3 linked regions of the Tamandua tetradactyla genome follow. The protein of the gene in region 2 interacts with the protein of the main gene of each other region in a pairwise test. Links are inferred from orthologs where the notes say so. Each region holds a gene or a part of one and is shown on either strand. Other genes may lie near its edges. The genes, in order: RAB11FIP2, RAB11B and MYO5B.

The links.
Region 1: the proteins of RAB11B (region 2) and RAB11FIP2 interact in binary tests that used the Homo sapiens proteins (3 or more experiments, as listed by UniProt). The link is inferred for Tamandua tetradactyla from reciprocal best matches to the Homo sapiens genes RAB11B and RAB11FIP2.
Region 3: the proteins of RAB11B (region 2) and MYO5B interact in binary tests that used the Homo sapiens proteins (3 or more experiments, as listed by UniProt). The link is inferred for Tamandua tetradactyla from reciprocal best matches to the Homo sapiens genes RAB11B and MYO5B.

Annotation. Positions count from the first base shown.
Region 1 is NC_135339.1:80,407,520-80,417,095, reverse strand, and holds the start of RAB11FIP2 (rab11 family-interacting protein 2), read left to right. Parts: upstream 1-5,315; 5' UTR 5,316-5,803; coding exon 5,804-6,156; intron 6,157-9,576. UniProt on the Homo sapiens protein: A Rab11 effector binding preferentially phosphatidylinositol 3,4,5-trisphosphate (PtdInsP3) and phosphatidic acid (PA) and acting in the regulation of the transport of vesicles from the endosomal recycling compartment (ERC) to the plasma membrane.
Region 2 is NC_135337.1:84,843,774-84,854,012, reverse strand, and holds the start of RAB11B (ras-related protein Rab-11B), read right to left. Parts: upstream 4,838-10,239; 5' UTR 4,702-4,837; coding exon 4,662-4,701; intron 1-4,661. UniProt on the Homo sapiens protein: The small GTPases Rab are key regulators of intracellular membrane trafficking, from the formation of transport vesicles to their fusion with membranes.
Region 3 is NC_135344.1:32,698,399-32,708,234, reverse strand, and holds the start of MYO5B (unconventional myosin-Vb), read right to left. Parts: upstream 4,379-9,836; 5' UTR 4,277-4,378; coding exon 4,232-4,276; intron 1-4,231. UniProt on the Homo sapiens protein: May be involved in vesicular trafficking via its association with the CART complex. The CART complex is necessary for efficient transferrin receptor recycling but not for EGFR degradation.

The sequences.
Region 1 (9,576 bases), on a different chromosome or scaffold from region 2:
GAATTCTGGGATTGGAAGGACCCTCAGAAGCACACCAGTATTGTGGCTTGCCGAGTCCCCAACTCTTTAATTGTTGAGTCAAGATTAGAACTCAGGTCTTCTATTGCTCAGGCCGGTGTGTCTTCCAAACTACCACTCATACATTCCCATTAATTTCATTGCCAGTTGTCAAAAAGAGGTATGATTCCAAATACAATTTCCCACACATATTCATAAAGAGACACCTATGGATGTCTCAGTGGCCATGTTTGTAATAGTGAAAAATCAGAAACAACTTAAACGTCCTGGGGAAAGAGAAACATCAAATGGGGCTTGTTCACTGGCCCTGATATCATATCACATTTAAAGTGAATGGATTCAAGTTCTGTGTATTTGCACACATTGATTTTGTTGAGGGAACAAAATCTGCACAACATAATAGCAGAATACCATGAAAAGACATCCACAAGAAACTTTCCTACATGCGAATATGTATTTGCTTTCATTCTTATTCTCCTCAGCATGCATTCACAGTTCGAAAGCGCTGCAAATAATATGAAGAGAAGTTATGTCTATTACAAACGAAAAGTTTAAGGCTTTTCAAAACCACATGCACTTGAATGTAATTTCTTCCAAATCTTGAGCTGTTGGTGTGGATTTCCTCATGTAGAGCCTATAATAAATATTATATTTCCTCTCTTACTGTGATCATTAATTACTTTCATTTGGGAGAGAGAGCACTCAGGACATCTTGAAGATTTTTTTCTCCCCAATTAGAGGATCTTTCTTAATAAATTACTAAAAAAGGGAATTTGCCTTAGTATATTGACCAAATTCAATTAGGTAATTACAATGTAATTTGCTTCTTTGTGTTGTGGATGTACTATTCAAAATTATTAAACGTTAAGGGATGTTTTCCTGGCTCCTGTTAGGGCTCTCTTATTTTACAGATGAACAGAGTCCAAATGAGGGAAATTTACTCTAAAGATGTGCAGCTAGTAAAAGCAGACTGCTATTAAGATCCCATTTTGACTGGACTAGGGCCCTTTACTCTCACTTCTCCTGGCATGCAAACTGGCCATACACTGTCTAATTCTAGAAGACAAATTAATCAGTTTAGTGATGAAGACAACAACAAAAAAATCACACACACACAAAACATTGCTATTATAATTTCAAATCAATTCACTTTTTTTTCTTTATCTTATAACTAGTTATATGGAGATGGATTGATCTATTTCCAAAATAACTCTGGAGCTTTGCCTTATGTATGTAAATTGTATACACATTTGAGCTGCTTATATATTTGAACTGTACACACACACACACACACACACACACACACACACACACACACACACACGTGCGTCTGAAGTCTGAAGGTTGTAATGAAGCTTTGGGAAAGACTCATGCTTCCCTCATGTCTCTGAAAGATCTCCATCTGGAAAACAATCATTATCCATTACAAAATGTATATGGCAGCATCAACACTCTTGACCAAGTGAACTATTTAAACACTGAGAGCATTATAATTGTCCTACAATAGATTTGAAAAATGTCTTTATAGAGATGCTGATGTCTATAGAAAATCTGCTATAACATGAACTTCCCTTTTGGGACTTTATAACATTTAGTAAATATTTTCATCTGTGAAATCCTCCACTACTGAGGAATAAGTATTGGCTATCTTTACTTTCTGGTCCAATCACTGTTATTCATTGTAGCAGCATTTTAACAGTTTAAAATTAGAATTTTCAACATTTCCCCCCTTGAAGATATATTATTTTCCCAAGCGCTTGACTTTGGAATTGTACCAAATGTTTCCAGACAGATCATTAGTCACAGGATAATAAAAAAAGTGACTCTCTTCGATTCTGGCATGCTGTTTTTGTGCATGTGCTGTTTCTTCCCTTTTTAAATTACTGTCCAAGTATATCGTAAAATTAGTAAAAAGAATTTTTAAAACTGTAAGACAATAAACATTTTGGCTGAACTGCTCTGATCCGGATCTTATGTAATTGCCATTGTTTTTCACCCTGAGCCATCTACATAGTTGACCCAACTATTATGTTTTAACTTCCTTAATACAATAGAAAGCAAAGCAAACCAAAACAATATGATAAAACACTTTCTAAAAGGAAGCTACTTCATTTTTGTAATGTAATTCCAGATTGTATTTAACTCATTTTGTTTTTTTTCTTTCCCCTCATGGCCTCAAATATGCTGTTTTCTTATTCCGACTTACAAAAATAAAGTCATAACTTCTGATTTTGCCAGATAGTAAAACTAAACAATGTTGGCTCTAGCCAGGTTTTGGGAAAAGTAAAAAGAAATTTAGGTACTACAGGAAGAGATTTAGTGATTCCAGTTGCTCAGCTCTTGAGTTAAATACTCAGGTCAAATACTTTAGAGTATTCTCCGAATTGTGTTGGAGAATGTTATTGGGTTGCTGTGAACTACTGCTGCCAACTTCCACCCTAGAGATAACTATGTTTCAGAGATGAGTGAACTGATACTTGTAAACAAGTTTATAATCTTTAATAAAGCTTACCAAACAATTTAAACTCTTTAGAAACACACAGCTAGTATTATAATTGCCTATTGTTTATTTAATTATAAACTTTAATAGAGACATGAATACTTAAAATCCAATTTACAAAAATTCTAAACTTAAGTTTGATTTTGTGATGCTTATTTTGTTTTAAGTTTCAGGTATCAAAGTGTTTCTCCCTCGGGATGCTGTTGAAATTCCACCATTGACTATTCCAATGTAGTCTTTAAAACTCCCCAGGAATATTTTTCTTTAAAGTTGACAATCGCCCACTCTGGGACCCAGATTTTGTTCTACTTTCTGTACATGGCCTTTTCATTTACTATTTCCCAGAGGAGGACAATTGTGCCTCTTTTTTCCATTTCGTGGTTAACTTTTCATTTTATGGTAAACTTTCATTAAGATGATTTAAAACTTAGGTTCTTTCATCCTAGATGAAAAGATCCTAGGTATCTAGCTTGGCTTCTTCAAGATGTATCTGTAGCTAAGCTCTCGGAAGATCTTGGTGGTAAATTAACCCAGTGTCTCTTTCTGGAGGACTCACACCATGCAGAACTCATGCAGCCACAGAGTGTAAGCAAATTAAAATACTGAAGTTTACAACAAATGTAGGAAATCTATAGACAATAGCAAGTAAGTGGATCCCTGAAAGAATATGCTGGAATCTGAGTGGTTTCAAGGTTTGTGGTGCTATCTTTCCAGTCAAGCCTCTTACAGAGGCTGTAAGATTAAATTAATGCAGTTCCCTCACCCCCACCCCACCCCACCTCACTCCAACTATATGGCTGCTACTCTAACACCAATATGCTGGGTTCTCACATGCCCCCACTGAAAAACAGTATTGACTACAGAGTAAAGACCCTTAACTTCACTTGCTTCTTAGAGTTTTGAGTGTTGCAAAAAGGATCTTGTAAAAATGGAGACACTGAGAAAACATGGAGCACAGAAAGTCCTTCTCAAATGTAGAAGTTTTGAACCTAACCTGAAAATTATAAATACTTTACACTTGTATGGGCATTCTAAGTTGCAAAGTGCATTCACATCTACCATATAGCCTTGTAAAGGAGAAAAGGTATTAAATCACTCAATAAATGGAAGGGCAGGTGGTATGTTATGAGAGGATTCCACGGTACACAAAGCAGTCTGAGAGCTTAGACTCTCCTCGAGATGAAAAGACATGAGCAGAAACATATGCAATAGAAGTAGTATGGAAGTGCCCCTTGTAGGTGAGAAATAGGCAAAGGGAGACAGAACTGTGTACCACATTGTGCTCGGAATCAGACGTCTATTATTTCATAATATTCCCTTCATCCCTATAATGAGTATTGTATCTAGTTTATGGACAAGGAAATCCATGCTCACAGAAGTGAAGTCCCTTGGGTCCCGCAGCTGAAAGAACTGGCAAAACACCGGACCCATCCTAAACCATAATCTGTACTTTCTCTGCTAGATTAGGCTAGTTCCAGAAAAGGCTCAGTATTATCTGTCTCTCTTTTCTTTTTTAACAAAGCCTTCTTCACTCCAACCGCACTGGTGCTCATCCAGTCCTTGCTTTAGGCACAGGATGGCAGTTGTCCCCCATGGTGAAGTAAACAAGCCGTTTGTCTTTCTGAGGTCCACAGGGCTTGGCTTCCGAAGTCAAGGGATGATTTCCAGGTGAAGTTCCCGGGGCGGGGGTTCCTTTTGATGTTGAGACCATGGAGTCACGATGGAATCTGAGACACGGTGGAGAACCTCAGTTCACTTGTGAAGAATCTAAGGCCTGGGGAGGTCAAATGACCCGCCCAGGTCGCCCAGACTGACCGATGGTGGCAGAGATGGAGCTGGAACCAGGTCTTCTGGCTCCGACCCAGTGCCTCCCGAGATCTTTATTAAACTACGCGTTAGCTCTGCAATCTTTTGTAACTGCTTCCCTTTCTCCCTTCCTCTGCATGGAGATGTCATTTCCAGTAAATTGACGGTCTTCTCTCCTTTCAAAAAGAGAGCGGTGGATAAAGGGGCATGGGGGAAATGTGTGCTTTAGGTCAATGAAGGGGACCAGTTCATTCCGCCACTATTTGCCCTCCACTTGGTACAGGCATTGGGCACCCAGGGTACAGCAAGGCATTTTCTACTCTCAAAGGCTTAATTTGGGTGTGTCTAGTTTAGGGCAGGCCCGGGGCCTAAATTCTTCCTCAGGGGAGAGCGCCCCAGTCTGCCTTTATAGGATCCCGTGTCCCCATCGCCCACCACCGTGTCCGGGCGACGGGCAAAGCATCCTGCCGAGTCGCACCACGCACGGGCTAGGGAACTCCGGGCCGCAGCACCGCCCCAAAGCTCGCCACAGCCCAGACGGCGCGCCCCCAGTCGTCATGGCAACCAGGGAGGTGCTGACCCCTGACCCCGCGGCCTCTCCTAGCCCCGCCCCTTTGCGTTTCCGAGATCAACATGGAGAAAGACAACCCGGAAGTGCCGGCGCTGCTGCAGCCCGCCCGGTACTAGGAGCCGCCGGCCCAGCGAGGCCGAGTCCCGTGGCCGCCGCCCAGCAACCCGCGGCCCGCCCCTCGTCCTGCCGGCGCCGAGGCGGCCGCGCCCCTCCGCTCCCCTCCACCCCCAGGCGACTCGCCCCCGCCCGAGAGGAGGAGCCGAGGCGAGACGGGGAGGAGGAGGAGGAGGGAGCGGTTTGTGAGAGGGAGCCAGGCCGCGCGAGTCGCCGGCGGTTCGTATTACCCGGGTCGGGAGGAGGAGCCGGGCCGGGCCGTGGCCCTGCGCGGGGTGGGCGGGAGGCGCTCAGGAGGCTGGGCGGCCCTGCCGCGGGAAGGCGGGCGGGAGGCCAGGGCTGCAGAGTCCGGGCCGGTGAGCTGTCGTCTGCAGGGCGGAGGGCTCACCAGTCACTTTTTAAAAAGACGCCTCCTTCCCACCTCCGAGCTCTCGGCCTGGGCCCAGGTGGCCGGGCCTCACCTGCCCGCAGGGCCGCCAGCCGCCCGCTGCCCAGGGTTGGTCCCTGAGAGCCGCGGAGCGTGAAGGTGGAGTCGCGAGGCGCGGGGTCCACACGGAGGCCTGGACAGCGCGGCCAGGTGATGGTGGGCCCTGTGACTCCAGAGGGAAGGCGAACCCAGAACAGCCGAGTCCCCGGACTGCCCCAGTCCGGCGGCCGTTTTGACATTAGCTCTAGGGAAACTGGGCAGCTCACCGTTAAGTGGCCTTAGGATGCAGTAATTAAAGAATTAGGGTCTCCTTCCGCGAGGGGCACTGCTAGCGCTCGTGGACTCCGTGTAGAGCAAAAAAGGCGGAATGATGCTGTCAGAGCAAGCCCCAAAGTGGTTTCCAACCCACGTGCAGGTCACAGTGCTCCAAGCCAAAGATCTTAAACCAAAAGGCAAAAGTGGCACCAATGACACATACACTATAATTCAACTGGGCAAGGAAAAATACTCCACCTCTGTAGCTGAGAAAACCCTTGAGCCAGTCTGGAAGGAAGAGGCCTCTTTTGAGCTACCTGGATTGCTAATGCAGGGGAATCCAGAGAAATACATTCTTTTCCTCATAGTTATGCACAGGTCCCTAGTGGGTCTGGATAAATTTTTAGGGCAGGTGGCAATCAATCTCAATGACATCTTTGAGGACAAACAAAGAAGGAAAACAGAGTAAGTTATGCAATTTATTTTAAATTTGGGGGCGCTTAAATATGTCTTATGGATTTTCTATTTTTGGAAATTATTTGTTTACCTGGGGCATTAGTTTTGGGTTAAAATATGACCAAGTTTTAAGCACCATGTTTGCATGGATCTGACGTAAAAATGGCATCTGTGAGGAAACATTTTTTCCACGGAGTCATTAATCCGTTATTCTCATTTCTGTTTGAGGTAAATAGCTATCAAATAGAATATTTTACCTTGGATTTCAAGTAAATTAAAAGTGTTTCACTATTTGTAAGAAGACTGGATCACAGGATTGCCAACTAAAACTTAACATGCCTACAATTTACGATCTTTAAACACTAGAGTTGTTGATGAAGTGGAACATCTGAAAATTAAACCTGAAATGTAACATTTTAATACGAATGTTGAACTTCGAAATTGCAGAAAGATAAATGACCAAAATTAAAACTCAGTACTTCATTTCAAAATTATAAACACAATTGGCCTTTATTTTAGCTTAGCCATTTTTCAGGGTCCATACGTGTTGATAGAGTTTAAAGCTGTTAAAAGAAAAAAAATAAAATTTAAAACTATGTACAAACATTCTTAACCCTGAATGTATTAACAGCATTTTCCTTGGAATTTACAATATATTGACAATAGTGTATTCAGAATTAGTTCTGCAAAGCCAGTGTGTTTAGACCATATTAAATGCTGGAAGATTGGCGGCAAGGACTAACTTCTTGTGATGAAATGATTTAATGACATCAACATAGCATAGTTGTCATAGTGTGACTTTCAAGCTTCAGTGAGTTAACTTTTATTTAAAAAATATATTAATTAACACTAAAATACTCTATCTGAAAATGAGAAAAAATGTTTTCAGAGCTCAATATACTCATCACTTTCTTAAATTTGCACTTATTTTGAGAAAACATTAAAATTAATGAGAGAAAAAAACAGTGTAAACTGAAGTCTTTAAATTCCTGAGATTACTTTGGTATTTCTTTGTCATAACTGAAATGTATGTACCTCTTTAAAATCATATTTAAAGTGATAACTTTCTTAAAGTGTCCGTTTTAAAATAATTATCTCTTGTTCTTTTCTGTAAATGTCTGCTTGCATACTTCTCTTGATTGGAATTTGTATTATCAGGTCTTTACCTAAGGTTTAAAATATGCAGGGTAAATGAGTAGAAAGGTATAAGATACTCCGAATGTAAGAGGAAAATGATAAATATTTAAACTAATTGAGGCGATGAAATTATTTTAAGGAAGAGGAGAGAAAAAGAAAAAAATGTAAAGTTGTAATGCAGCGACTTCAATAACAAAACTGTGTTACCTAAAAAGTGGTATTTTAGTTTCCTCTGGGAAGTTCATACAGTTTAAAATGAGAAGTGGTTAGTCACCACGTTCTGAATTGCCAGTTTGGGGTGACAGTATATTTTAAAATGTGTTGAATGTAAATTTTTAAATCTGTTGTAGCTTTAAGTTTCTTAACTGTATTTGCAGGATTTTTAATATTGATAATGTATTATAGGCCTCCTCTGAAATACAAACTTTTCAAGTGAAAGTAGGCCCAAGTGTGAACCTAATGGTGAAATAGCCTTTTAAAGTTTCTTCTTGTTTTGTGTGTCGTCTTTGGCAGCATCATAGTTCCTATAAGTTCCCGTAGCACTCCAGTATTGTTGTTTCTCCCTACAGAATTCCATGCCGTATACTAAATAAAATTGATTGTAACTTTTGGTGGGGAGAAAATGCTTTTAAATGTTAGCAGGTCTTGCGATGTTACTACTTTCAAAGTGATTTTCATTTGTTACTGTACCTTTAGTATTTTCTTTCTTTGTGGATAAATGGGGACCACATATTCAATGAGGTATCTTTATTGGTAATATTTCCAGTTTTTTAATATATTTAATAGTTTCCTTTTTCCAACACAGCTGTGCATGTGGCGCAATAAGAGACGGACTTGAGTCACTAGTGTATTACAAGAAAGATATTTAATATTCTGCACATTGCTGAACCTTGTCAGCATATTCCCAAGTGCTTTTTAGAAAACCAGTATGAGTGATGAAGGCTACCAGCTGATTTAGAAGTCCCATGGAACTGTGGGATGTGACACTTTTTACTTTTTGACACTAAAGACAAATACAGCCCATCTTCCATTTGTGGCAAAGAAGTGTGATGGCTAAAACTATTATCTTATTTATTTTTATATCTTCAAATAATGCTTTTTTTTTTTCTTCTAAGGAGAGGAGGAAAGAGGCTTGGGTAAGAACACTTTGCGTGGGGCTTGGAAAGAGAACTGCTGTATCTCCCACTTTAATGGGTATCTGGGTTAATCCTGGCACAAGATTTAAGGAAATAAAACAAAGTTTAATAATAGAATGGTGAAATAGTTCATGCTGTTATGTAATATCTATTTATTTTTTACAACAGACGTGGGTGATATTGACTTTTTTTTAATGCCCCTGAGAAGTAATAATGATCAGAGTCCCTAGAGTTAGGTATGGTTCAAACACATGCAGATTTCAGGACTTTTGTGTGCGTCTTTGCAGTGCACCTGCATCCTGGCCTCTGGCACCCTTACTGCCAATCTTGTCCCATTTCTGACCACACAGCACCAATTGTTTGGGAATAGTTCCCACATGTGTGGTGATTTTTGAACATGGACCTGTGCCCACTAGAAATTGAACCGAGGCCATACAGTTTAAATCCAGTACTCCAGAGGTGAAAAAAAAGCAGCATTAATCCCCTAAGCCCCAAATGCTTGGTCTTCATTTTATCTTTATGAAGCTTCAGAAAATCAGTGCCATCTCTGGAATGATTCTTGAAGGTCTCATTAAGACTTCCCTGTTATTACAGTTTGAAAACAAAGCAGGTAAAATTACTTGTCATGCCTCCATTTTTTAGTATATTAAAAAAAAATTATTTGCAGTTTTCTTTTGGGGTAGTTTGTATCCAAACAACGACTTACTCTTTTCTTTAAGACTTAACCTAAGTCTTCAGAGTTCCTTACAAAAACAAAACAAAACAAAACAAAACGATACACAGAGATAGATTTGTAGCTTGATTGATTTAGAAAAAGGGTGGTAGAAGCACAAATTCAATAAACATTAATTTAGTACAAGGCACACTGGCTTCTAGGAGCTTACACTCTAGCAATAGAAAATCTATATTGCTTTCTTCTTTGGCTGTCATGTCTTCTGATCAAATACAGTGTCCCGGAATAAGTGACCAGCTTTGTGTTTAACCTTAACATATGTGGGTCATTAGATAGAAAGAATTTCTATTTTCCTGCAGATGTTACCCATCAGCTTTGGATTTTTTTCCTTATTGACTGTAATCTGCCACTGAGAAGTTACCTGGCATTCTCTGTGTTTGGTCTCCTCATCTATGGGATAAGATTGGTAAAGTAGATGACTGA
Region 2 (10,239 bases):
GAACACACATACATATATACCCATCACTCTGCTTCCTCATGGAAAGAGCCCAGGGGAGCCCGGCTATCACTAGCAAAACCACAGTCCACTCCAGCACAGCCCATTCCAAGAGGAGCCAGGATGGGGCCCTCTGGCCACAGCTGGGAAGGGACAGAGCCTGCCATTCTTCCTGCAGGTCACCCTTGTCTCCCAACCCAGGAGCCTCCTGGGTGGGAAGCGGTGGAGGTAGGCCTGGAACCCAGGTTTTCTGGGCCCAGGGCCTGAGCTCTTTCTCTCCTGACTCACCTCCTGGTCCCCTGTTCTGCTTCCCTTAGCATGCAGGTCAGGGGTCTTGGTTCGGTCACCCCCTCACATCCCACATGGGTCAAGTTCCTGGTGGGGTCTTGAGGTGCCTGGCACTCCTGCCAGCCTGTCTCTTCCCACTGCTGAGCGGCTCAGCTCCCGCCACCTGGAGCGCCCTGCCTACTGGGGGCAGCAAGCAAGCTCCTGCCATCTTTCAAGACCCCTTGGTTTCAGGCCCCTCCACTCCCTCAGACCACAACCTGGCCTGTCCCCCGAAGCCTGTGACAACAGGGCCCATTTCCTCTCAGGAAGCCGTGGCTGCCCAATGGAAGCCTGCCAAGAGGACCTGAGTGAATGGTGGGAAGAGCTGAAGACAGACATGGCCTGTGGCCCTGTGCCGAGGACAGCCAACCATGCCAGGCCAGGGTGGATGGACCACGGGTCCCATCATCCATGCCACCCACCCTTCACCTCCTGCCCATGGCAGGAATCTGGCTTAGGCCAGGTTTGCTCACACTTCTCATGTCTCGGCACTGGAATGGGATATGAGGAGGGCCCTCTCTGGCCTTGTCTTGGTGTCCTGTCCCCCCAACAACCCTCATGCCCTTCCCTACCTTGTTCCACTGTCCAGCCTGGGTCCTTTGAGCCCCATCAGTTTGCCTGGATCAGCCAAGAGTTCCATCAGCCACTCCACCAGGCCTACTCTTACGTTTTGTGGGTCTCAGCATGTCAAGTTCTTAGGGGGAAATCTAAGTATAACATTGTTCCTGCTACCTTGTTGGAAACACTCAGCCCAGAGTGACAGAGTTCCCAGCCCCAAGTCACCCAGTGTGAACAATGGAGGTCAGAGTAAGATGAAGACCAACCAGACCCTGACCAGATGACCAGTGGGAAAGCTGGGCTGCCACAGCAGTCCCTGGCACACACTGCCTAGTGCAGAGAGGGGGCCAGTGGGGCAGTAGCCAGGCCAGCCCGAGCGCAGACTGCGAATGAACATGGCATTGTCAAGAGTATAAACAACCTGTTGTCTTGGGGAAATAAAGGGCCCTTGAGGACATAGCCCCTGGCATTTCCACAGAAGCCGGTGGGCTCACTGGCTAGGAAACGGCCCTCCTGGACCTGCCACTTGGTTCACAGAACGGGTAAACCCAGTTGGTAAAAACAAAGAGCTGCCACCTCCTGGAAGCCCTGGGTCCCCTGCCCTGCCCCATGACAGCATGGCATTCTCTAGGGCTCAGGGTTTGAGGCTCAGGTGGATTGTGTGGCAGCTATTTCCAAGGGAACTGCAGAGCAGAGGTATCCAAAGATGGGCCCAGCGGGCCCCCATTCGCAATTGGGGAAGATGATTTGCTCAGGTCCCAGGCCAGCAATCAGGACACAGGGCCTGGTGGGACTCGTCCGGGCTGGAGGCAGGGAGGTTGCCTGGAGAGTGCTCAACAGAGCTCAGCAGAGAAGGGCACGCACCAGGGCTGGTCCAGTCCCTTAGGAACCAGCAGCTATTTTCTCTTCACCCTTTTTCCCTAAAGGGCTCCTAAATGGGGCAGAGGTGGCCACAACCCACAGGATGAGCCTAGGGCCACTGTGGTCAGCTTCCTTTGCCACCCACCCTTCTTCTCAGAGCCACTGATTGGCTGGGGGATCCAGAAAGAGCTCTGAGGAAGCCTCTGGGCCCCCTGATGGTGGACCTTGCAGTCCAACTCATCAGAGGAGAGCTCAGGAGTCACCCCAGCAATCAATGAGCAACCTGGGCAAAGAGCCCAGGGCTAACAGGATAAAATGTTATGAGGATAAATGTGAAGGCCTATAATTAGGTCCAAATAAACAACTTCATTCCTCTTCTCAGGGAGGGGGAGAGGAAACAGGAAGGAAAACAACAGCACATGTTCGTGGAGAGCAGGCCCGTGGAATCTGCTGGCTGTTGAGGTCAGGGGGAGTCACTGTGGGATGTGGCTGCTCAGAACAGGGTGGCAGTGGGAGAGTGGAACAAGGAGCAGCCCAGGGTCCCGAGCAGAGAGGAATGGCTGCACTGGTCCAGGGGCTAATCCAGAGAGAGACAAATAAGGCCTAGGGGGCAGGGGACTCCAGGGTGCTGCAAGCAGAGGTCCTGCAAGCAGAGGTCCTGAAAAAGTTGGCTTTTGTCAACAGGTCTGACCCTTGCAAGGAGAGGAGAGGAGGGGGCTCAGGGCCGGTGTGTTTTCTATGTCTCTCTGGCAGGTGGGCCCAGACCTGAGCCTCAATAGCAGGCCCCCAGGTCTGGGGGTGTACATATTCACATTTCTACCTTCCCCTCCTCCATATCTGTGGCAGTGATGTAATGGTGGTGGTTTGTTTGCTGGTTTGCTTCCTTCCTTCCTTGTCTAATACACCTAACTTAGTGAAAAACTTATTGGATTTAAAGAAAAGTAGGAAAAGATATTTATTGCTGGAAGGTGAGACCTTGGATGAACAGAGTTTCAGAAATGCTGACTTTGTGAGTTAGACTTCTGCTACCACCCTAGATCGAGTTCAGCAGCTTGCTACCACTGGCTTAGGTAAACAGGGTCAGTAGAGGAGGACAGGGGACAGGTGGCCCTCACAGTATGCCCGCTACCGTAAGACCTGATCTGTGTTTCCAGGAAGTTGAGTCTATAGATGAGTCCTGAGAAGTGCAGAGCTGCTCTATTGCCCCTGACCCAGTAACTGTACTTCTGGGAACACACTTCAAGGAAATAATCCAAAGGGCAAGTAGATGATTTGTATCTGATTGTTTATAAAAGCAAAAGGGTGACAATAAACTGACAGCCCGACAAGCAAGGGAGGGCAATGGAAACCAGGATGTGGCACCTGGGGGGGAAATCCCCCTGCCCTGGCAGTGCCACATCAGACGGGTGCTCAGTTATGAGCAGGGGAGCAGCCCCCTAAGGTGATTTGAGTGAAGATGGGAAACCAGCTGGAGGAGGACCAAAGTCTCCAAGAACCCAAGGCTTGGGAGGCACGTGAGTTTTGGTGTGCCCTGCCAGCGACACATCAGCCTGCTTGCAACCCCCTGAGCCCATGGTGCTGTGGGCTGACTCAGGGCCTTGACACAGGCTCTCCTTCAGCCCGGAAACCTTTGACTAATGTGGATATCCTAGGTAGGGAGAGCTCCACCCTACTCTTTATATTCCCAAAGCCCTGGTCCCAAGGTGCTGACACACCAGGCAGCAGGGCAAAGGTGTAGTGCATGGACCCAGGGTTTAGGTCTCCAGGGTGGCCACTGCCAGCCGAGAGTCCAGCAGGCATGGCAGAGAACCTGGCCAAAGCCGAGCTCAGCAGGCAAGGTACTGCAAAGGCAGTGATCCTCCAACCTGCCCAGCAGAGAAAGCAGGGATTCTAATAATGTGAAGGGAGTCTTCCCAGCTCGAGGGGTAAAGCAAAGGCTCTCCAGCTGGCCCCAGTTCGGCAAAAGCTGCTAGCCTTGCCTGGGCCTTACTTGGTAGCCATCTGTTCCTTAGGCAGGGAAGATCCACCAGCAGGACGGCCAAGGTCCAGGACACCAGTGCTCAAGTGTTGGAGAGAGAGGGTTTAACACCCAGATCTTGGCCACAAGGCCCCCAAACATGCTCCCTAAATGATAAAGGCCACAGCCGGCCTGGATTCAAGTCTTGCTCCAACACTTTCTGGCTGGGCCTTTATTTCCCTGGGCCTCAGTCTCCTAGTCTGTAAAAACAGAGGCTGAATACTACTCACCTCACAAGGTAAGGATTTAAGTGAGCGCTTGCGTGTAAAGTGCTTAGAGAAGTGCAGGTACATGGTTGATACCATCAAGCGTTTCATTTAGTTCTTGCTTTCAATCACCACGCCTGGGTTCAGACATGGTCCCTTCCAGGAGCCCTTCCACCCGATTAGGGGTCCGCACCCCAGTCCAGGCTCCCCCTCGCACCACACACCTCCCGAGGGACCCTCACCTCGACCCAACCTCCCATTGTGCGCCCCCAAGGGCGCTGACCCTGGACCCCGCCCCCACCCAGGCCTGGCCCCTCCCGCCCACGGAGACACGCCCACAGGCTCTAGCCCCGCCTCTAATGGCCCCGCCCCCACCACGAGTGGCGCTTCAGCCCGGCCCGGCCCGCCAAATGCTGGGGCGGCCCCGCCCCCGGAGGCCCCGCCCCCAACGGATTGTCCCACCTCCTTCAGGTCTCGGTCCCGCCCCGGCGCACCCCGCGTCCCCAGACCTCTCGGGGCTGCCCGCTCCATACAGCCGTGCACCCCGGCCCGAAGCTGACGAAGCCTGGCCTTTCCCGGCCTTCCCCCCGGGTTCCAAGTCCCGGATCCCTGCCAGGGCCCAAAGGCCCGGAGCGCAGCCTCGCCGCGCCTGCCCACCGCCTCGCCCTCGCCCGGCTCTGCCCCAGCGGCCGCACCTTTGAATAGGTAGTCGTACTCATCGTCCCGGGTCCCCATTGTCCTGGCGCTTCCGGCGGGATCGGCGACTCCGCAGCCCCACCACAAACACCCGATGGGGGCGGAGCCGGCGCCGCGCTGAACTGGGGCTGGCTGGCCAAACAGCGGCGGGCGCCGTAGCGACCGACACCCGGAGCAGCCAATCAGAGGCGGAAGCAGAGCCTCCGGGGTGGGCACTGCCTGAGAGCCACCCTCCTCACCGTCCGTCTCCTGGAGAAAGGCGGAAGGAATGCGGATCTTTCTGAAGTGACGGCCGCGCCGGCCTATCAGAGCAGAACTCGGAAAGGCGGGGCGGAAGACTAGGGAAACGAAGGGGATTGATGAAATGAGCAGCCAATGAGAGGCTTGATTCAGACCCTACCCGACTACCCGAGGACCCGCCTGGGAAGGGAAAAGGGGCCACGTTCAGGAGAAGCTACGTTACAGATCGCAGCGTGCCGATGACATCATCGGCCTTTGCGGAGCGCTCGCTCCTCTTTGCTTAGATGGCGGTCTGGAGGGCGCTTGTCGCTTCTCGGTTGCATTTTCCATCCTTGTGTTGGTGACTCGCGTTACTTCTCACCCTGCGCCTCGGATTCCTCCCTCCACAAAACAGTGAAGACTTTCACCTTCTGGAAATCTTTTTGAGGATGAATAGATTTTCCTAAAAGCGTCCATAGTATATCAACCGTCGACTTTGTGTCCTTAAGTGTTTGTTATTTAGTATTTCTGAATCCTTAGTGGGTACCAGATATTCTGCAGCAAGGCCTTTCTTTCCTCTCTGTGTCCTTAACTTGTTTTATTTTGTTTCCGTAATATTTATTACCACCTGATGTGCAAGTATGCATTCCGTTTTTCTTTTTTTTCTAAATTTGATTTTAATATGGGCAGGCACTGGGAATGGAACCGGGTCTCCGGCATGGCAGACGAGAACTCTGCCTGCTGAGCCACCGTGGCCCTGTCTTCCTCCTTTGATCCATTTGCCTGTTTCGTTTATGTCCTCTGGCTCCGACTTTGAATGCCGTAAGGGTAGGGATTGTATCTGCGGTATCCTCAAGGCTCAGTGTTTGTTCAATGATGAAGAATCTAAGCCAGAATGTTAACAGATAAATTTAGTCCATGGATTCTTCTGCCCAAGGCGCTCAATAATCAATTCCTGAGACACCAGGGGTTTTAAGGAGAGAGTTCATTGTTGTGCACATAGTAGGAGAGCAGACAGCCTAACGGCCCCAAATCTCTCCCTGAACTGTGGTAATTTGGGTAGTTTTTTTTAGAGAAAAGGTGAGCAGGGTTTTGGACAATGGGCACTTTGGCCCCAGGTGATGTAATTAGGGGTGATCTGCTATTGAACATGTGCAGATTGAGTATGCATTTAGTCACACAGTGTTGGTAAGAAAATAGCGGCCTTAATATAATGACGGGCATGATTTTTAGTATTATCACGAGGGATAGGTGACTTACCCATTCAAATTTAAGCTACTGCGCATATCAGGAGGGCCCACTTTGTCTAGATCCAGTCTCAGTCATCAAGATAATTTGGGACTCGGGGGACTTCATTAACACACATTAGGGGCTATCTTTAGTGATTACAAGACTCTAAAGTTGAAAAACTGAATAATTAGGGACAGATGAAGAGTAGTCACAAGGTTTAGTCACAATCACAGGGGCAGAAGGGCTGTACAGCTATTGTCAGAGATCAAGGCAGCCGGATTGCAATTCAGAGAGGTCAGGTACTGAAATCTGCCTACTCGGGTATGCCAGAAAGCAAAAAAGAAGTATTTATGAAATAATTCGGTAATCAAAATCATTCCTTAAATCCTAACTCCTCGGTTTCAGTTGCTCATGTGCTAGTTTTGGCAGTTATTATTAACTGCTTCGTAAACCGCATTCCTGGATGTCCTTCAGGCATCCTAGGCACAAACATGGCCTCTTTCTCCAAATTCACCCTTCCTCATGGGTCTCCGTTCCTGCCCAATCACCAATGCAAGAGGTGGTGAACTCCACTCTCTCTTTCCTCCACTCCCCTCCCTTTACCTCCTCAATTGCCTTATCCTGACCCTCTTCCCTCCTAAATTTCTGCTTCTGTTGATCACGTCATCCTCTCCACTCCCACCACCCTGACTCTGGCTTCCATATCACCCGCTGGCCTCGTACAGTAACCTCCTCCCTGGTGTCTGGAATTTGGTCCTTATGTCCCACAGTCTGTTCTCACAGAAGTCAGCAAGAGTTTTTGTTTTTTTTTTTTAACATAAGTTAAATTATATAACTCCCCTGTCTAAAAACCTTTTAGGCCTTCATTCATAAGCATTTACTGAACACCTACTATGCTGCAGACAGTGTTTGAGGTCCTGGAGATGCAGCATTGACCAAGACCAAGTCCCAGCCTTCATGAAACTGACAAGTTAGTGGGGGCAGTTAGATAAGAAGCATATGAGCAACGAGCCCAGTCATTTTGAGGTGGTACGTGTGCAATAAGAAGAAACTGGGTTACGTGATGGGGAGCCCCTTAGCTGGGGAGTCAGGGACACAATGCTGGAGGACGTGGCATTTGCACTGAGCCCTGAACCATGAGAGGGATCTGGTCCTAGGACTGGGAGAAAGGAAGGAACAACAATATTATAGGCACACAAAACAACAACAGAGAGAGCCTGGTGGGTGGAGAAACAGCCAGCAGGCCATGGTGACCCCACGATGAGGCACAGGAGGGAGATGGGCCAGAGATAACAGGCAAGAGAGCAAGGCTACTCCTACCTTACGTGGGACATGACTTCCAGGGGTGTAAATCTCCTTGGCAACGTGGGACAGGACTCTGGGGATGAGCTGAAATCTGGCTCCAAGGGATTGAGAGAGCATTCCTGACCAAAAGCAGTAAGAGAGAAATGAGACAAAATAAAGTCTCGTTGACTGAGAAACGTCATACAGTCAAGAGGTTCTCCTGGAGGTTATTCTTATGCATTACATAGATATCCCTTTTTAGTTTATGGTGCATCGGAGTGGCTGGAGGGAAGTACCTGAAACTGTTGAACTGTGTTCCAGTAGCCCTGATTCTTGAAGACAATTGTATAACTATATAGCTTTTACGATGTGACCATGTGATCGTGAAAACTTGTGTCCGATATTCTTTTATCCAGGTATGGACAGATGAGTGAAAAAAATAAAAAGAGGGGGAAATAAATAACTAATAGTGGGGGATAAGGGGTAGAATAAATTGGGTGGATTGAAATACTAGTGGTCAGTGAGTGGGAGGAGTAAGGAGTATGGGACGCATGGGTTTTTCTTTGTATTTCTTTTTCTGGAGTGATGCAAATGTTCTAAAAATGATCATGGTGATGAATATACAACCACATGATGATATTGCAAGCCATTGATTGTATCCTATGGATGAACTGTACATGTGTGAAGATTTCTCAATACAAATATTGAAAAAAAAGAAGAAAGAAAGCAAGGCTGGAGGCTGGATCAGGGAGGACATCAGCAAACTCCTGGGCAGGGAGCTCAAAGCCCTAGCCATTCCAGCCCCAACCCACTGCTGTTCCCTGTCCACCGCCCCTACTTCCTGCTCCATGCTCCAGCCAGGTGGGGCTACCCACTGGTCTCCCACACACTCAATGCACTTCCCTTCACTATGCCTTTTTATAAATGTAACCTATATACAGCATTAAAGTTCCCATTTTAACCAATTTCAAGTATGCAATTCAGTGGTGTTAATATGTTCACAGTGCTGTGTAATCATCAATACCATCCATTCCCCAAACTTCTCCATTGTCCAAAAGAGAAACCATACTAATTAAGCCTTAACTCACCTTTCTCATCCCCCAGTCCTGCCCCTAGTAACCTGTATTCTAATTTTGGGCTGAATTTGCATATTCTAATTATTTCATGTCAGTGAGCTCATGCAATATTTGTCCTTTTTAGTCTGGCTTATTTTACTCAGCATGATGTCTTCAGGGTTCATCCATGTTGTAGCATGTGTCAGAACTTCATTCCTTTTTTTGTGGCTGAATAGTATTCCATCGTGGATTTTGTTTATTCATTCACTTATTGGTGGACATTTGGGTTGCTTCTATCTCTTCTCCAATTTTGGATAATGCTACCATGAACATCGGTGTGCAAATACCTTTCCGAGTTCCTGTTTTCAGTTCTTTGGGGTAGATATACCTAAGAAGTGGAATTTGCTGTTCCTATGGTAATTCTATACTTAACTTTCTAGAGAACCACCAAACTTTCCTACAGCAGCCCTACTCTGCTTTTGCTCTAGCAGTGCTCTCTTCCTCGAATGCCCTCCCTGTCCCTATCTCCCTGGTAGAATTTTCATCCTTCTTTGGAAACAACTCAAAGCCACCTCCACCATGAACCCTTTTCCACTGTCTCAGTCACTACCCACCCCCTGCCCCAGCATGGCTCATAGCAGTATAGTAATAGTATCTGTGGCTAATATGTATTGCATGCTTGCTGTGAGCCATGCATTGTACTGAGAGTTTTTCATGTAATGCTGAATTAAATCCTTACAGCACTGTGAGAATGAGCTTGGAGGGAGCGTTGGGGGGTGTTACCAAAACTGTCCCCATTTTCCAGATGCAGGGACTAAGGGCAGAGAGCTTTAGTGGCCTGTCCCTGGTCACCCAGGAGAATGCGTGGGTAAGAGCTCCAGCTCTCGCATCGGCACATCTGCCTAATTCCTGACCCCTTGGTCACTCCCTAACAGTGGTGGCTATTTTTTCTGTTATTTCCTGGCACGGTGATGCAGGAAATTCTGAGAGGGTGGAAGTAGGGGTATGGCAGGATAAGGACAGAAGTCAGAGAGCTGAGCCCTCTTTGGCTGAACCGGAAAATGAAGAGAGCAGAGCTGGCACACAACCCCCCCCACCCCACTCCACAGGCTGGACTGTTGCGGCAGAACCTACCTCCCCACCTCTTCAGCCACAGTGGGCTCAAAGGATACCCTCCAAGGCTTCCCAGCGTACCCCCCCAAACAAGGAACTTGGCCTCCAGGCTCCCTGGAGTGGCAGCTCTAGAACCTCTACAGCGCTGACAAATTCATCACCCACATTCAGCCCCAAGGAGCTACCCAGTCCCCAGCATCTCCCAGGAAGAGTCCTGGCACAGGAAAACCACAGAGATTTCTCTACCACCTCCCCAAGGGAAACTTAAAACAAATGCTTGGAGAGGGTATCTGGGAGACAGAAACAGGATATCTGCAGCAGCTGAGGCTCAGGGCCTGCATGGGTGCTGTGTTTTCCAGACATGAATCCCAGACACATGCATCAAATTATTACAGACCTCAAAGTTTGGGAAGCTTGGCATGGGTGACGTGGGTGATAGTTTTAGATAGTGCATTAAATAACATGGCACCACATAGTGGGAAAGTCCTATTCTTTTTCACTCCTTGAAACCCTTTATTACCCACTGTGCTGATTTGAAAGTATGTATGTCCCCTAGAAAAGCCATATTTTAATCTAAATCCCATTTCATAAAGGCAGAATAATCCCAATTCAATTCCTTATGTTTGAAACTGTAATCAGATCATCTCCCTGGATGATGTGATTTAATCAAGAGTGG
Region 3 (9,836 bases), on a different chromosome or scaffold from region 2:
TCAGGCTGCTGCCCCCACCACTAAATACTCAGCAACTAGAGCAGGAGTGCCACTCAGAAAAGGCTTAGCAGGGTCCACACTTCCACCCAACTCCAGAGCTCTGGCTCAACAAATGGCTCCAAGTCTCTTCCATATGAACTGACATCATTGCAACAGAGTATGGAATAGTTTAAACCTAAGGACTCTCTCAAGAACAGTTGAGAGCAGTGATGAAAAGCAATTTGGAGGAGCAGTATGGATCTAATGAAGATATAGACTACAGGCTGGCCATAGGGAGGAGAGAATCAGGGTAAACTTGGAGAAGTCTTCCTAGGGTCAGAACAGATACCAAACGCAGACCTCAAAAACTACTCCCTTCAAAGAAAAACACTTTGATTGCATTAATAGAGGAATTTATGCCACAAGACACCATTGAAAACAATAGAGCAATGTGGTCTCCAATGAGCAGTTTAACAGTTGGGTGTCATAAAGGAAAGAGAGGAAGAAATTACTTGCAGCCTTCTCAGAGTGGCAGGGGCTTAACCCTTCTGGAGGGAGGTATGATAGACTCACTAAAATAATACAACCAGTCATGAAATTAAACAAATTACAATAAACTCCGAAGGGAGAGGGGCATCAGTAACCATAGTTGCTACAGTATATTATCCAAAATGTCAAGCTTCAAGCAAAAAATTATAAGGCATGTTAAAAACCAAACAAACAGGAAAGTATGACCTATATAGGCACGTATAATTGTCCGTGAGTATGACCAGATGTCAGAATGAAAAGAAAAAATCTTTCAGATGTAAAAATGCTCACAGAAGTAAAGAAAGCAAAGCAAAAGATGGTTTGACAACATCACATAAAATACAGAATATAAATGAAGAAATAGAAATTACAAAGAAGAACAAAATGGAAAATCTGGATTGAAAAGTAAATAACACCAATAATTCACTAGCAAAGCTCTGGGTTGTCCTCTTCCCATGAAGTCAAGGACAGCATTAACTCCTACCTGCCATTACGTAGGACAATATTCACAGAGTATTGCCATCCAGGGAAGCTCACCAGAGCCTTTGGTGCCCAGAGCTTTGGACCAAATACTGCCCAATCGATTAATCTTTAGGCTCCAGCAACTCTAAGAGGTCAGGCTGACACCTTTAGTCTCAAGTCCCTGCAGGAGGCAGAATTGATATCGTGTGGTCCAAAGGTCCTATGACAAATCACATTGTTAGGCTGCCCTGTGGCAAAAGCTTCCAGACAAAGACACCTACCAGGCATAGAGATCACCCTGCAGTAGCTGAAGGAAAAGGCCAGTCTTCTCTTCAGAGAAGGCTATTTCATCATTACATAGGTCACCCCTTCCTCTATCCCAAAAGACAGCCATTAACTTGACAATGGATATCCATTAACTTGATAGTGGAGCGATTCCCTCACATATGCATATGTTTACTTTGACCACATAAAAATACATCCATACATCTAATATTATTTGGTTGTATACTTTAGATAATGGTAGCATACCATGCATATTCTGTAACTTGATTATATTTCATGCACCACTGACATTTATCTTGTTGATACATGTAGAGTTGGTTCACTCATTTTAGTATTCTTTTGTATATGTGTGCATTTGTGTGTGTGTGTGTGTGTGTTTGTGCTGGAATTTATCCACCCCCTATTGGTACACCCTGACAAGAGTTCATTCACTCATTAATTCATTAACTATTACTCAGAATTTACTATTGCACCATGTACTGCTCCAGCACTGGTGTCAGAGAAATTAGATAATGCTTGCATTCATACCAAAAGAATTCCCTTATGGAAATGCCAAGTTTGGGGACATACCACTGACTCTGCCAACAGTCAGCTGGATGTTTGAGTCTAGACTCACAGAAGGAGGTAAGGCTTAAGAAATTAATCTTGAACTCTTTGCTTAAGGTGGAGGGTGAAGCCAGAAGAGTAGTGGAGCTAACTAATAGAACACCTATGACCAGTTAACCCACAAAACTATGAAAAATGAAAACAAATTGTTGTTTTATGTCACTAAATGTTAGGGTGGTTTGCATGCAGCCACAGATAACCAAATTAGGAGGTCACTCTACTGGTTTCCCCAAATCAGACTCGGGTAGTAGTAGGGAATCATGAAAAGAAACCACAACAAAGGCACAGCTGGCACTTCTGTGCCATCCCAGTATTTCAACTTACTCCCAGCAAGAATATGAGAACATGCTTAAACTACAACCAGGTAGGAATTTGATGTTTGCAGTGTGTTTTTAATAATTGCTGTTTGCTGCCCTACCCGCTCTAGAAGACTCTACCCTGGCCAAAAAACAAATCAGAAATTTTGTTATAAAGCAGAATGTTTAAAGAATACCGTACTTGTTTGCATGTGTCAGTCATCTATGCAAACATGCAAAATCCACCAAGCGATCATGTAAGAGGTAACAAGAGAGGCCCAGGTGTTTATAAGGCAGGGCTGAAGGACCAAGTAATGAAGCACAAGGTAATACTTGGAGGCTGCCAGCTGTGACTTATCAGACACCTTTCTCCAGAGGTAAAGCCTCCTGTGCGGAAAGTACAGTAATACTAGGTGCAGGCAAACCAAGACCAGAAAGGCTTGGGAATTTTGCCTTCTCTCCATTGGGGACAAGAAAAACTTGTACATAAACTAACAACATAAGAAGAAAGCTACCAGGCAAGGGCCACAAAAGCAGTGGAGGCTGGTGCCAGAGATACTCGGCAGCAACAGGACTCCCTTAGCTAGACAGATTAAAGAAGGCTTCATGGAAGCAGTGATATCTGAGTAGAGCTTTGAAGAATACGCAAAGTGTGAACATGCAGACACTAGGAAAAGGAGCCCTGCGTAATATACAGCAGCAGGAACTGCGGTGAGGAGAGCCTGCTATAAAGAAGATGGAATAAAAACATAGAAAGTCAGGAATACAGACAGATCACGTAAGACCCCAACACCAGGGTAAGGAGAGAGGACTTTATGATAGGGAGCTACTGAAAGTTTCCGAACAAGATAAAGGTGAGAGTTCAGGAGTGAGCCCCAGGACGCTTTGCCTGGCAGGTATCTGTGGGAATAGTTACCATACACCTCAGAAAAATAAATCCATTTATCACCACTACAGACACAGCTCATGTACAAGTGGCAACCCTGGTGAAATCACAGAGACAAAATATTTTTCAGATAACTTCAAAAATCGTTAGGACAAGAATTGTGTTCTGTTTAATCCCAGGTTAGCTCATTAAGAATAAAACTGCTAGAGCAATAAATTTTTTAAAAATCTACATTTTGACATATCCTTTCTGCACAACTCAATCTCACCGTCTTTCAAGGACTAGCTTGAACTGTACTTCAGATATAAATAATTTTCTTTAGCTGTCTGAATTATAGATTTGAGAGCACACTGCCATTAAAACTTCTGCATTCATAAATGTATAATTTATATTTCCCCTTCTAAAATGATTTGTAGTACAGAAATACTTTTCATATTGTCTTGTTCACCCTGTTTTGCTTATTCTATCTTATCTACCCATTTATATTATAAACTTCTTTTTGAACAGGGCTTGTATATTCCTCATTCATTCTTCCAAAATCCTCCACGCAGTAGGAGGCATACATCAGTGTCCAACAGATTCTTCTTAACTGATTTCCATTGCTCCCTGTCCTGGTAGTAACATTTGAGGGGAAAGTCTCCCTAATACGTCCATTATTCGTGGCCAGTTCCTCTGGCAAAGTAATCTTCTGGAAGTCATGAGTTTCTTTTTTAATATCCTTTAAAAAAAATTTTATGTGTATCTTAGGCCCCAGTCATAGGAACCATTCTTCATGGAGGGAGATGCATAAAACTAATCCAAGTCTGCCCTCGGAGGGAAACTAGCAGGGGCACAAGCTGAGGACAGACTCTGGGGTCTGACCATGATAGTGGGAAGGTCACCCACCCACAGGGATGCCAGGAAAGACAGCTAGAGGGTATTAACTAATATCCCTTATCAAGTTTTCCCCACATCCATCTGAGATTCAAACACCAACAAGCACATGCTGTTACCCTCGGCATTCACACCCAATTGTGAAATCACCACCATTCCACCAGACGTGAGTTTTCTGAGGCTGCTTTCTGACTCCTTTTGTTATAGTTCTTGAGGTTTTGTTTTTTTTAAAACTAAGGATTCAAAATTGCTACTTCAAAAATCAAAGCCCAGTGGCACCCTAGTACCTTTCATACTGCAGCCTTCCACAACTGACCTGCTGGGTAGTACGGAGCAGCACATAACTGCCTCCTGGATCCATCCCAAAGAAGCCTCATTGTAGCGCCAAGTCCCCTCTAATATGGCCCCACATCCTCCTCAAATTAAAATAAGGGTTCCCTTTACCAATATTTTTAAAAAAATGTGTTCTAAGTTCTAAGTCTGGAACACAGAATTCACTTTTTCTATAGAAAAACATCCTAGAAGTGGTAGGTTCCCAGGGCAACCCAAACAGCCTACCTACTTAGGATTAGTATAAATGTTTCTATGAGGAAGTGACTTTCAAATCAGATAGGAGGTGTGCGCCTGTGTATTCCTGTGCCACCAGCAAAAGGGAATTACCCCTGCAGTTATTGGGGACCCCAACTAAAGACAGGGAAGGGCGACAGCCCCACCCTTGCATCTGGACCCACTGCAGCCACCTGCCACCTGTTCAAAAGAAGCTGTAACAAAGGCCTCAACCACCAATGCACTGAAGGTTTGCACAGGAAGCACTAAATATCTAGTGATCCAGTTAACAACTTTGATTTATCAATGAGTATTTAGTAATACAAATGTTATATATTCCCCTCCTCAACCCAGAGTGATATAAGCTCTCTCCTCTCAAGGTATTTACAACTTTATCTGAGAAGTCTCTTAGGGCATTAACAAATTTTACCCATCTTAGGATGCTATTTGAGGACAGCCCTTTGTGGCCATTTACAGATAGATGAAGTAGGTATGGACAGAAATTAAGGGATGTACCTAAAATTAAAAGCTACTGAGAGCCCTCAAACAAACCCAAATCTGGCTCCTATCCTGCCTATTCTCCATGGTTCCAGGCTGCTTCTCTTCTCTGATCCTGCAGGAGGCTTTGGGCAGCCATTTGTTTATCAAATGAGCCACAAGTCCTAAAGCTACCTGATTTAACACCACACCCTTTTATAGGTAGCTCAGCACCTCTAGACTTCTGTTCAGTATTTGCTTGCAGCTTCTGCAGATTTAAACTCCGATCTGCATATAGGCTTATACTAGAAGTTTTCCAAAACTTCAAAAAATAACACACTAAAAGGTTAAGGAAAAAAAAAAAGCGGGGGGGGGGGGATGGGGCTAGGAAACAAAAGGGCCTGGCCAAAGAGATGAGAATGCACTGAGGCCATCCTCAAGTCTATGAGAAATAGGGGACCAATGTGATTACCTACACAGGGAGCAATCAAGAGCTGTCACTGGAATTATAGCCAGACTCTCTGCCAGTAGACTTGGGATATTTCAGGGCTGTTACTTCATGAGATTCTAGCATCCGTTATGCTTCTAAGGGTTTCTAATTTCAGCTGCAAAAGACAAGAGTCCAGGAAATGAGGCAGACATATCTAAAAGCCTGCAGAAACAAAGAGAAGCATCCACAGGAATAACTGCCTGCCTTGAAGGGATTTCAAATAAGAGGCTCAAAGATAGAAGATTAGAAGAGGAAAATGATAGGCAAGAAAACCAAAGTAGCAAACATAGCCCTAAGCTGAAATTCAGAAGAATCATGGAACCAAGGAACCGTGATGAGAGAAGCATTAAAAAGAGACGACTGGCTCTTGTATTTGAAATGAGATGAGACCAAAAAGGTTAAGTGGCAAATTCAAGATCACACCGCTTAGTGGGGAAGAGGGATTAGCGTCTACTAACACACCTCAGGTGCTCAACACACCTCAGTTGAAGCAGAACGTGTTTGAAGACCGTAACTTGGGCTAAGAGTCATTTTATAGAGAAAAAGCACCTAGTCTGTTCAAAGAGCTTAAAAGGGTTATGAAGAGGCTGGTCAGCTGCTTGGCTTTCCAACCGAATGATACTCAGTTTCCTATAAAAGCCACAACCATGAATGAATGCAGTGACATACTGGAGTTCAAAATGGAATTACGGGGTGGGGAAGGGAAGAATTAGAGTGTAATAGGGAAGAACAGAACACATTAGCTACATACTTTAATACTGGCTGATTTACTGAATCACTAAATAAGTGTCAAGACTGTTGGGTTCCAAAAATACTTCATTTGCAAGAATTTGAATGTCTCAACACTTCATAAAGGAAAAAGACTGATGGATTTGACAACATTCATTTTTCAGAAAAGTTTTCCATAAATAAATGACTGAGGAGAAACATTCACAAACCTACAGAAGACAAGTTTAATATCTATTATTCACAAAGCACCTATAAATCAGTAAGTCCAAACTTTGTAGTCTGTTATTCAAGGCCCTCTGGGGTCTGACCTGCTACCAGCTACTTCCTCTCTCTCTCTTTCATTCTGAAGTTTATGATGTGCCTGCTTGTACCAGTGTCAGCCTAAGTAAGCACAAGTCCTGTGACTCTAACCTGGTTCACAGCGTTCAGCTTTTAAACAAAAAAATTCCCCAGCACCTGCCTTGCAATCCTGCTGCCAACTCTCGTCCTAGTCTTTAACTTCCTGCTAGACCCCTGTGACCAGTATTGCTGGAGCCACAATATATTCCTATCTCTGGGTTATAGTTGCTCCCAGCTCCTCTGGTAGACTCCAGCTAAGCCAGCATCAACCCTCTAGACTCACCTGGCAAAGGCCCACAGTGCCAGTGTTTCTGCTGGGCTTGTCCAGGAGAACTGTCACTGCAGGGAACATTAAGCCAGTGAAATGTTATTTCCTGAACAAGCCCCTAGATTTTCAAAATATTGTTGCTTATACTGCTGCCTCTCCCTGGAAGGGTATTATTAGTCTCTCCCATCAATCCCTCTTTTTTTTTTTTTTTTTTTTACATGGGCAGGTACCAGGAATTGAACCCAGGTCCTTGGGCATGGCAGGCAAGCACTCTTACCTGCTGAGTCACCGTGGCCCGCCTGAATCCTCTTGAAATCCTACTCACTTGTTATGGTTTAAGCCTTCCCTAACCTTCCTTCCATACTCATTCCCCATATATGTTACTTCCCCTCCCTCTCCTGCAGACTTTCTTGTTTCTCATGACATGCCAGCGTAACCTGGCTCATCCCTGTGCCACTTACACATTTATCTCAAGCAAAATGTAGGCTCCATGAGAGCAGACACTGAGAATTAATCATTCTTTTGATTCCCAGCCCTGGTACACTACTTGGCCCATAGAAATCTTCAACAGAGTTATTTAATTGTACAAATGGAACTTCTCTGGTTCAAGTGTGACTTATAAAATGGTTTTCAAAACAGTAAGAGATGTTTCAAAACTTCTTGAGCAACGACTGTATTGTTAGAATCATCCTAAAATGATTTAATTGAACAGTAACACTTATTTAGACATGAAAGTTCTGGTATGCTTATTAAAAGTCATTCATCAGTTCATAGTAGAATATAGAACTTATTTCCGAGGCAATAAGCCTGATGAATTTATTTCGACATACAACAGGCCAAAAGTTTTAGGTCCTGAATGAGAATGGCGGGATTTAGACAAAGGAAGAGCCCAAAGGCTTGGAAACAGACATGAACTTATACAGACAAAGGTATTTTAAGGTAGACAATGAATGTCTGTAAGCTCTTCCACATTATCATGGTGACCCAACCAACTGCTCCCACAAAAGGCCATCTACTCTTGGAGCAGAGGCATGTAGCTCAGGCACAACCTAAGTCAACTGAAGAAGCAGCTTCTGAGAAGAAACCTCCAGTGTAGAAGAGTTCAGAGGATGGAGACAACTCCCACAAATAAAGAAAAAAACTCCCATGGATGCCAAGGCCATATCTGCTCCCTCTGCACCCAGCAAACTGTCACAACTTTAAACCTGTATACTCTCCCAAAGAAATATGATGAACAGGTAACAGTGACGTATACCAACAATTCAGGTACAACTATAAGAGTAGACTGGCCCTCAGCAACTGCTGCCAGACTTCAAGCCCATATATCATTTTGTTTCCATTTAATCCATTTTCTTTGATCACAGACCCAATCCACATCCCAGCACATCTCAATCCGGAGCTCCTCAATTAAGTCTAAAGATTGATTCATTTTTTCCAACCTAAGATATCTATGTTCTTATTTTCGTACTTACTATCAGAATAAAAACACTAGAAATACAAAAACAAAATTATCCACAACCAAAGATGAGTGCCAAGGAAGAATGGTAAATGGGTTTGGGTGGGTAAAGTAGTTCAGATAATGGAGGCCTCTCAGGACAGGAAGCTGTCTGAAGTCCCAAAGCAGGTAAGCTGTGTCTGAAGACTGTGTTTCAGAACAGTTAGTCCAGCAACACTGACACACACAGTAGAGGCTTAGGAGGACATGAGAGAACAAAAGCATAAGATGACTATGGCTTCTTCCTCTCCCAAAGGCCTGGATTAGATCCAGAATCACCGACCTTACCTCCTACGCAGGTGAAATGTAGTTTGTTCTTGGGATTTCACCTCCGAGGGTTCACTAGAGAACACAAAGTCCTTAGCTTTAAACCAGAGGTACTCAACCAGGGTCCCCACCTCTGAGACATTCAGTCATTTCTGAAGACACTTTCAGTTATCACAATTGAGGTACGGGATGTGGAGGCCAGGGATGACATCAAACATCCTGCAAAGCACAGGTTAGCCTCCTTCCCCACAAAAAAGAATTACCTGACCCCAAATATCAAGATTGACAAGACTGAGAAAACTGCTCTGAGCCCATCATTCAGGAAAAGGCAGATCTATCTTGGACCCTTTTCAAGAACAACGACAAGTGCCAAGACAGGCCATCGTCACTACACCCTTGCTTAGCAGCCCAGTCCCAGAATCCATACCCTGACAACACAGGTTCCTGGCACTCAGGTCGGAAGAGAGAATAAGTCAGCAGCCAGGCAAAAACACAACAAACTCCCAATTTTCTACTCGCTGGAATAGCACTCTTGGGGACATACGAGAAACACCCCATTCTACACGCAAATGCTTGTTGAAAAGAAACTGAAAACGAAATTGAACTTGGAGAGGTGTGTGGTTCTTATAACTTCAATGAGGGATTTAACATTCTCATGGAGTAAAAAAAAAATTAAAGCATTCCTTCCTAAGTTCCTATTTCTTATAAAGTGTTCCTCTAAAATGTGTTCGCCTTTAGTTTTCACCAAGAGATTCATAATTTTCTAAACTGACCTCAAAAGCATTTCATTTAAGAAGTTTTAAAAAGCTGGTTTTCTAAAAAATTCAATTGTCTTTTATTATGATAGATTTCAATAAAAAATTTTAAATCATGAATCGAGGCATGACTAGCAATCACCAAATCTAATGATCAGTATTTAGCTGATCATCAGAATCCCCTCCCTTCAGAAATTTAAGACATAGATTACCAGGCCCCACTTACAACTTACTAAAGCAGAATATCCAGCGGTAATAGCAAGGAAGTATGTTTTTAATTTAATTCAGGGATCAGCAAACCACAGCCTGTGGGTCAAACCCAGTACTCCACTTGTTTTTTAAATAAGTTTTACTGGAACACAGCCATGAAGTTTCATTTATGTATTTATTATGGCAGAGTTGAGTAGTCGCCAAAATATTACAATTACAGAAAAGGTCTGCCAACTACTAACTTAGAAACCCCAAGGGATTGTTCTATTCAGCCAGGTTTGGGAATCATTTGGCCCACTCCAAACATCTCACACACACCTTCAGAAAAGGAAACCAAGGGCCCTA